2 linked regions of the Coturnix japonica genome follow. The protein of the gene in region 1 purifies or fractionates together with the protein of each later gene. This does not show direct contact. Links are inferred from orthologs where the notes say so. Each region holds a gene or a part of one and is shown on either strand. Other genes may lie near its edges.

Region 1 (4,201 bases):
TATTTGCTCTGCAAAAGGGCCCCACACCAGGCAGGCTGCAACAGGCTGCTCATGAGGGGGCTGATTTTTTTTCCCTGTGGTTCTGCATAAAACAGCCACATTTAATGCCCTGCCAAAAGCAGTGCGCGTTCTGTTGCAGAAACGGCTCTTAAACTACTATAGTGGAGTTACCTGCATGATGGCACTGAACTGTGCTTCATTCTCCATCTGCTCTTCTGCCACTCCCCTCTGGACACTGGCCAGAACACTGGATTTGAAGAAGTACCGCCAGTTGTGATGGAGGACTCTGAAAAGCAGCTCGAACAGCTCTGCTTTCACATCAGGAGATGAGCGCTAGGAGGAAAGAAGAACGCCTCAGAAGAGGCTCCTATGCTGGAATCCCACTTATGCCCTGGGTTACTTTGTTGGCAGCACCCTGCTCTGTGGTGGTGGCCCTCCAGGAGCACTCTGCAGCCGAGGTACCAGAATGAAGGATTTCCTTCTATGGAAGGCATCAACCTCAGCAACTGCTGGATCACACCTTCATGCTAAGAACACATAATCCAGTTTTGTTTTACCTCCTGCTCTGAGCATGTCTGTACCTTCAGTGTATTCAACAACCTCTGACAAAACCCTCCACCCACACTGCTTCCAAACTCCCCAACTCTCCCTGTGCTGGGACTGACATTACAGCTCCTGGAAAGCAAAGCCCTCACTTGCTCCCCACAGCCCCAGCAAGGCCTTCACTTCCCCCTCTGTGTTCACCTGGTGTGAGAGCACTCCTACCTCCGCAATGATGGGGTACACCTGCTCCATGCACAGTGAAATGACACTGGGTAGAAAAGGCTTGAATACTTGGCCTGGTTCCTGCACCACCACTTGCAGAATTTTCAGAAACTTCTCCACCACCCGACAGCCAGTGCTGCCCTCATGGAGGATGCTCTCTGCCAGCTGCTCTCTGCAACAAAAAATGAAGTTGCTGGATGGAATCTTTCCCTGAGATCTGCAATGCTTACCTACCAAATTGAAAGGGAAGCAGACAGTGTCTCTAAGCTTCCTCAACTAATACAGCCTAAGAACATTAAGTCACGGAAGGGAGGTAGGTATTGACTAAGGACTCATAGACGCTTTTCCCTCACAGAAGCTTTAGGGATAACAGGGGTGCACAAAAACACTGGCTGATACAGGTAATGCCAGAGTCCAGTGTTCAGTATCACACACTCCCAATACTGTCAAGTCTCTGGGAAAGCTGAAACAGCACATCAGGTACATGGGCCATCATGCACAGACTGGGTCACTAAAACCTGGATGCAGAGGAAGAAGTGCAACACTCTTTTCTTTAGGGACTGGGATGTGTTTAGTTAGCTGGCCAAGATAAACCATCACCAGGGATGAGAAAAAAGTGACCAGCACAAAACAATACCTGGTGAACATATTTAGGAAAGTCTGTATGATCTGCTCAGTGAAAGGCACTCCCATCTGCACTCTCAGTCCTTGAAACAAAGTGAGGAAGAAGCTCAGCATCTCATCCGTCACATCTAAGGCAGAACAGGAAAGCAAACAGAGTGCGTTAAGGCAACATTCAAACACATGAAAAAGTCTTTTATGTGGTATCTGCTCCTCCTGTACAGGGAATCCCATTTATTCCTGAAAAATTAGCAGCAGCTTCGCCATTAGAAATTGAAATCAATACTTGGACAAGTACAGTCAGCATCAACACCACAGAATAAGTACAAGGGCCCTGGGTCTGTCTGCCTACACAGACAGCTTGGAGAAAGCTCTTGCAATGGCCTGGGCTTCAGCAGCTCCCTGCACACAGGGTTAACAGGAAATGCAAGGAAATCCACAACAGCTCAGTACAGCTTGAAGTGGCCAAGAGAGAGAATTCAGCTTTTTTTCTTTTTTCGGGGGGAGGCTCTGAGAAAATCCTTCTGACTTCAGAGGTGATTCTCAGCACAGAGTTGCACTGCACCGCAGCTAATCCCAGTATGCTTTACTGAACAGCCACAGTAAGCTGCAACCACTCAGGTCCTGCTTCATACAGCCTTTTATAGCCAACACAAAATGGGTGAGCAGCCTCATGCAAGTGAAGGCAGCAATTCACTGGAGTCACAGTTTGCTGCCTTGGATCCTTTCTGTGTCTTTGTATTGGCATTTCACTGACAAGATGCCACCTGACTCCAGAAGTTTGTTCTGGAATGAGTGGCTCCTCACAAAGCTGCTGCAGCCCCATGCAAGTGATCAGACACAAAATGTAAGAGCTGGCTATAAGATTGCCAAGCAGCAGTCCTAGTTACATTGACTCAAAGAATGACTTGGGTTGGAAGAGACCTTAAAGACCAGACAGTTCCAAGCCCTCCTGCAGTGGGCAGGGCTGCCACATCACCAGGTTTTGCCCAGGTCCCATCCAACCTGGACATCTTAGGAGCCCATCATAGGTGTAGTATTTGAAAGCTCTTTTGTGCTCATGAAAAGCTCCATTCCTTTTCACTGCCTGAACACAACAAAGGGCATCTCCACCCACTGGAAGTGTGACAAGTCCTCATGACTGTGTTGTAGATGACACCACATCTCCCTTTCCTCTTCTGAATCAACCCACCCACCAGGACAGACCTGCATTGCACAGCAAGCCCACACACTTCACATGAACACCATGACCCTACACTGATGGGCTCTGGGTGTTATTGGGAGGTGATAAAGCTACTCACAGCATTAAACCTGTCCTATGGTTATACCTGACTGATGAATGAAAGCTGGGAAGAGGGCTAGTGAGACCTGCACGGATTCTTGCAGCGACTGATAACAGATCTGCCGAGATTTGGTGGATTCTCCAGAGATACTTTCTACAATATCTTCTAAAACGCTGAGCGTCTGATGGATGATCACTTTGGCTGCAAAAAGAAAAGAGGTGATACTTCCTGCATATGTCAAAACTACCCACAGGCAAAAAATGAAGAGAAGTTCATGTGAGCTGTACTTAAAATAACACACAAGGCAGCACATACATCAAAGCCCAGGTTGGAGTCAGAAGTGTTTCTAAAGTACATTCACATTTTAAACATTTAAATAGGTTCAGCCAAGTAACAGTGGCAACTTGCATTCTTAAATTATACAGGCTTACAGCCCTACAGACGCACTCATTGCTTGAGAACTAAGGTGCACAGTCTGAAGGAAGCCATAGGTCAGCGTTATTTCCAGCACAACATAGATTAAGAAAGAACAGTCAAGAAAACATAAGCTTATTTTGATAGCAAAATATATTGCAAATCTCTATTTGTGGAAGTAACAATTGGAGCAATACACAGTCACTGAATAAACTAACCCAGAAGTCCCAGCATTAGATTGCTCAGCATTCCCAGTGCAATCAGTGCCATTCAAATTTCTATTACAAACTCACTTTCCCTGAGCAACTGAGGAAGACGGAACAGTTTGCAGCAGCCTGGGGTGAAAGCATCCCTTACAAACCATAGAGGAAGTGTTTCTAACAAAAAAACAAACTAATTGCTCCTTCCCATGTGCTAAGCAGCTCTCAGCCAAAAGAATTACTGGAAAGACAGCTCAATGACTCCCTCCAACAGTCAGCACTGCAACTGCAGTAGGGCCAGCACACACTAGGAAACTGGGTACTTACTGTCCTCCATCTGCACTTTCCTCTGTGGCAATATAGCATTGGATTTCAATTGGCGATAGTCCCTGGTGAGGGCAGAGATGAGGCTGGTGTGGTTGGTGGAGCGAACCGCCCACTGCTGCTCACTCTCCGGAAGATTTGGCCAAGGTAGCAACAATACATTTGATAGCGCTCTGCACACCAGCACCTGGGCCTGGAAACGATGAAACATGGAAGTTTTCAGAGTTTTCTATTCACTCATAACTCACAGACACCCTTAGACTGACATTTTATGGCTGCCCAAAGCAGCAGTTGTGCCCAAGTGACAACCAGCAACTCTGCAAGGTGAGAGAGAAGCAAAGCTCCGTGACTTCAGAGCTGGAGTCAGCTCTCATCTCTGTACCCTTCTGTGCAACAAGAACTCAATGTTCCTTGTATCTCCAAAACAAGACGATGCCAATTCCATTGCTCTGTCTGGTTTAGACAGGAAGCACCCATGTCTGTATAGCACTTTGTCCCCCCATGCTAGTGCCCAATGCAACAGAATCCCCATCTTTGCTGCAGCTTTTCAGTAATCCTAATACATTCATTTGGAGTGAGGTATACAGAATGCTA
Region 2 (3,323 bases), on another chromosome or scaffold:
AGGGTCAAATCTCCAAGGACAGTTGTATCTGACTGGCTATATATCATTTCAATAGCATCTTCAACGGGGATTATAATCTGAATTGAAGTGGAAAGACCTGAGGCAATGAAGCTGTCAGCAGTCTAAGATTAAGGAATTAAAACAGCAGCAGAGCATTACAGGATTTGTTGGAGATGTATTAGGAGGAGCAGGCTGAGCACATTGCAGCCTTCCTCGGGTCGGAAATTTCATAAAAGTACAGAGAAGGGCAAGAACAAGGATCTCATCAACGTGCATGAAAGAGAGAGGAGAGAAAGGCAGAGCTATAAAAACCCAGCCACGTAAAACATAAACCCCAACCGGAGCCCAAAATGAGTCACACAAGGTTTGACTGAAGTAAATAAAAGCAGGAATGAAGAGGATTGAGGGAGGGCAGAGGTGAAATGACACTGAGAGCCAGCAGACAGGGTAGAAGTGGCCCGTGATATATGAAGGCTGGTAAATTCTGGAATGCACCCTGGTCTGCTCCTGGTCTGTTCAATGGAAATGCAGGTCCCCAGCGCTGTCCACCTCCCCATTTCTCACTTGCATCTGAAGAACCACGTTAAAATGTGAAAAAATGGCAGCAACTGCCTGCAGAGCGGGGAGCTGGCAGCTGAGCAAGCAGCCCCAAGGGAGAGGACAGGCAAGATCTGCCTTTCCCTCTGCAGAGCTCCCCTGAAGGCCACCAGCAGCTCTGTGCACCGCAGGGGACATCGGCAGCTCTTCTCAAAGGAGGCAGCAGCAATCAAAACAAAGGACTCAAACTCCCACCAAAGGGCCAATTGGAACTATCCATTTATTCTGGGCAAATCGCACACATTGTTCTTTCATTTGCTCTATCCTAGATCAGCCCTGGGGAGGAGCTTCTCCCTTGGATTAAAGATATCAAAGTTATGGCACAAAACACAAAGGAAACCAGGGAAGTATCCCTTACAGATAAAATATGTAGGAAAATTTCAGTAACCCAGACTCCAAGCAGCCCCCAGCCCTGCTTAGCACAAGCCAAAAGGTTCATGCTGTACAGAACAGCACTGCTCACCATGGCACAATTCCGTCACCTGACCCAAAAAGAAGCCCAACGCCTCTGCATCTCACCACCTCACAACAACGATGCCCAGCTGACAACTACAATAACTCTGAACAATGCCATCCGTACAGAACTGCTGCACTTTATTGACACAAAACTGCACCCAGCAGAACGTTCCCCTGCACACACAAGGCCGAAGAGCACTGACGAGCAGCCAGATCTAGGACACAGAAGGAGATGGGAAGCTAAAGACAGGTGGAGTTTGTTCTGCAGGTAGAGCACGGAATCGCTTTTCAACTCCTCTGGCCAACTTCTACTGGGAGATTTACATACAAGTCCTCAGTCAAGTCTTAAAAGAATTATCCAGAGTCCCCCCGGTAAAAACAATCTGCTTCAACAAAGAGTCCAGAGCTTCTCAGTGATTCTTTTTGGTTGAGCCGAAGCCAGAGAAGCCCATCACAGCCGCCATCTCATCATCCTCTTCAAAAGTCAAATCTTCCTCTGCCCTCCTTTTCTTTTCTCTCTGCTTCTCCTTCTTGTAGGCTTTGGCCTTTTCCTCCTGCAGCGAGGAAGAGAACAGCAAAACAACCTGAACCTCCTGAGGTAGGTAAGCTTTTGAGATGTCGGGCACTGCACAGTTAACTCAAAATCCAACCAACATGACCCAAATTGTATCTGAAGAAATAAAACAGCCAGCAGAAATCTTGGTCTGCAGCCTCCCAGGAGGTTTCCCACTGCCTACAGACCACCCACTCCCACCCCAGGAGGGAAGTCGCACACAGAGGATGCAGCCGAAGCGATGCCCCGTGAAATCAACAGCTCTCACGTCCAAGCAGATGGCAGAGATTTCACCTGGAATCAACACTGAGAAGGGGCTGCTGGTAAAGCAAGAGGCATTTCCATCACAAAGTGCCCTGTTCCAAGGGCTGTGATGTGGAATGTCACTGCCCATTGGCTGTCAGCGCGGCAGAGTGACAGCCGCTCACTGGAACAGAAGTTGAGCTCTAAGTGGCTGTGGGGGTTTTGGCATCAAAGATTTTGCACTGCACTAATCAAAGTGCTTTGCTCTGTAAGGATCACAAGCCCTGGAACAGCGCCAGGCTGGTACTGGGCGACACACAAGTATGGCTCCAGCTCCCGACTTAGCAACTGAACCTGCCATTCCCATCACCATCCACTGCTCTGCAGCTATTGAAGACAGCCAGGCCCTGAAGAAAACCGCACCAAAAGCTGCTGCTGCTGCTTTCTTTGTTGTCATGCATAGATTGGCAATAGCTTTTTCACCCACTGCACGCTCAGCACTGCTAAGGCAGTCTCCTGCCTCTCCCGACTGAGCAGGCTCAGCAGCACCAAGGCCTCATGGCAGAGCATGGGGCTGCCAAGCACTAGGACTTGCAGCCTGTGGAGCAAAGCTGGGGGCTTCAGCAGGGAGACAAACATGCAGCATGTCTGGTGTTTGTATGACTGCTGTTGAAGGAGAAGCATGCAGAGAAGCTCCTTAACTGTCAGAGCTCTGTCAGTTGTTTCTCAGACATAAACTTGATCTCTGTTTCAGGGAACTGGCACTTAAGCCCAGATTTGAGAGGAATCCGATGCTTTCCATTGCCTCCACACACATCCCACAGCACAGCACACCACTCATGAAGCCCTTCTTCACTTGGGAAAGCCACACAAAAGCAATGTGCCACATGGAGGAGGAATCAATCAGCAACCCCCAGAACCACAGCACACCACACGACGATCAGGAACAAGCACACGGGTCTGTTTATCAAAGCACATAAATTCAAACACAAGTAATGGGACACAAAGCAGGTGCACCGTCAGGGCTTCAGTACTCTTAGCAGAAGCTTGAAGTATCAAAAGTTATCCTCATGCATAGAGAAGGAAAAAGGATTTCCAGGGACCAGAGCAGAAACTATCCTTAAGAAAACAAACAGCAAGTACACAGACCCGGTCAGTGCAGCAGATAAGAAGCCCACACTACCAAGTACAAGATCTTTGTTAAACAGGATAAGGAACCAGGGCTGCTTTCCTCAGGGGTTCAGCTTTGCCAGCTGCTGCCCACACTCACCTCCTCACGGAGCTCCTTCATCCTCTCCTCGAAGTCATAGTCCTTCTGCTTCTCCTCCATCTTCTTCTTGTTCACCTCAAAGCGCTTCTTCACCTGGTCCAGCGTGGAGCGCTCCACCCTCATGGACATGCCCAGGTTTCTCTGGTCTGGAGGAACACAGAGCCACGTTCAGCACATCCTTAGCCTTTAAAGGTCTGCACACAG

What was found. The genes of interacting proteins can lie anywhere in the genome.
Region 2: the proteins of XPO6 (region 1) and ZMAT2 purify together in Homo sapiens (co-immunoprecipitation; 3 studies listed by BioGRID and IntAct, with this or other methods). This does not show direct contact. The link is inferred for Coturnix japonica from reciprocal best matches to the Homo sapiens genes XPO6 and ZMAT2.

Annotation. Positions count from the first base shown.
Region 1 is NC_029529.1:11,410,006-11,414,206, reverse strand, and holds part of XPO6 (exportin-6), read right to left. Parts: intron 3,801-4,201; coding exon 3,611-3,800; intron 2,871-3,610; coding exon 2,715-2,870; intron 1,518-2,714; coding exon 1,403-1,517; intron 938-1,402; coding exon 766-937; intron 334-765; coding exon 172-333; intron 1-171. UniProt on the Homo sapiens protein: Mediates the nuclear export of actin and profilin-actin complexes in somatic cells.
Region 2 is NC_029528.1:15,092,392-15,095,714, forward strand, and holds the end of ZMAT2 (zinc finger matrin-type protein 2), read right to left. Parts: intron 3,266-3,323; coding exon 3,120-3,265; intron 1,608-3,119; coding exon 1,464-1,607; 3' UTR 799-1,463; downstream 1-798. UniProt on the Homo sapiens protein: Involved in pre-mRNA splicing as a component of the spliceosome.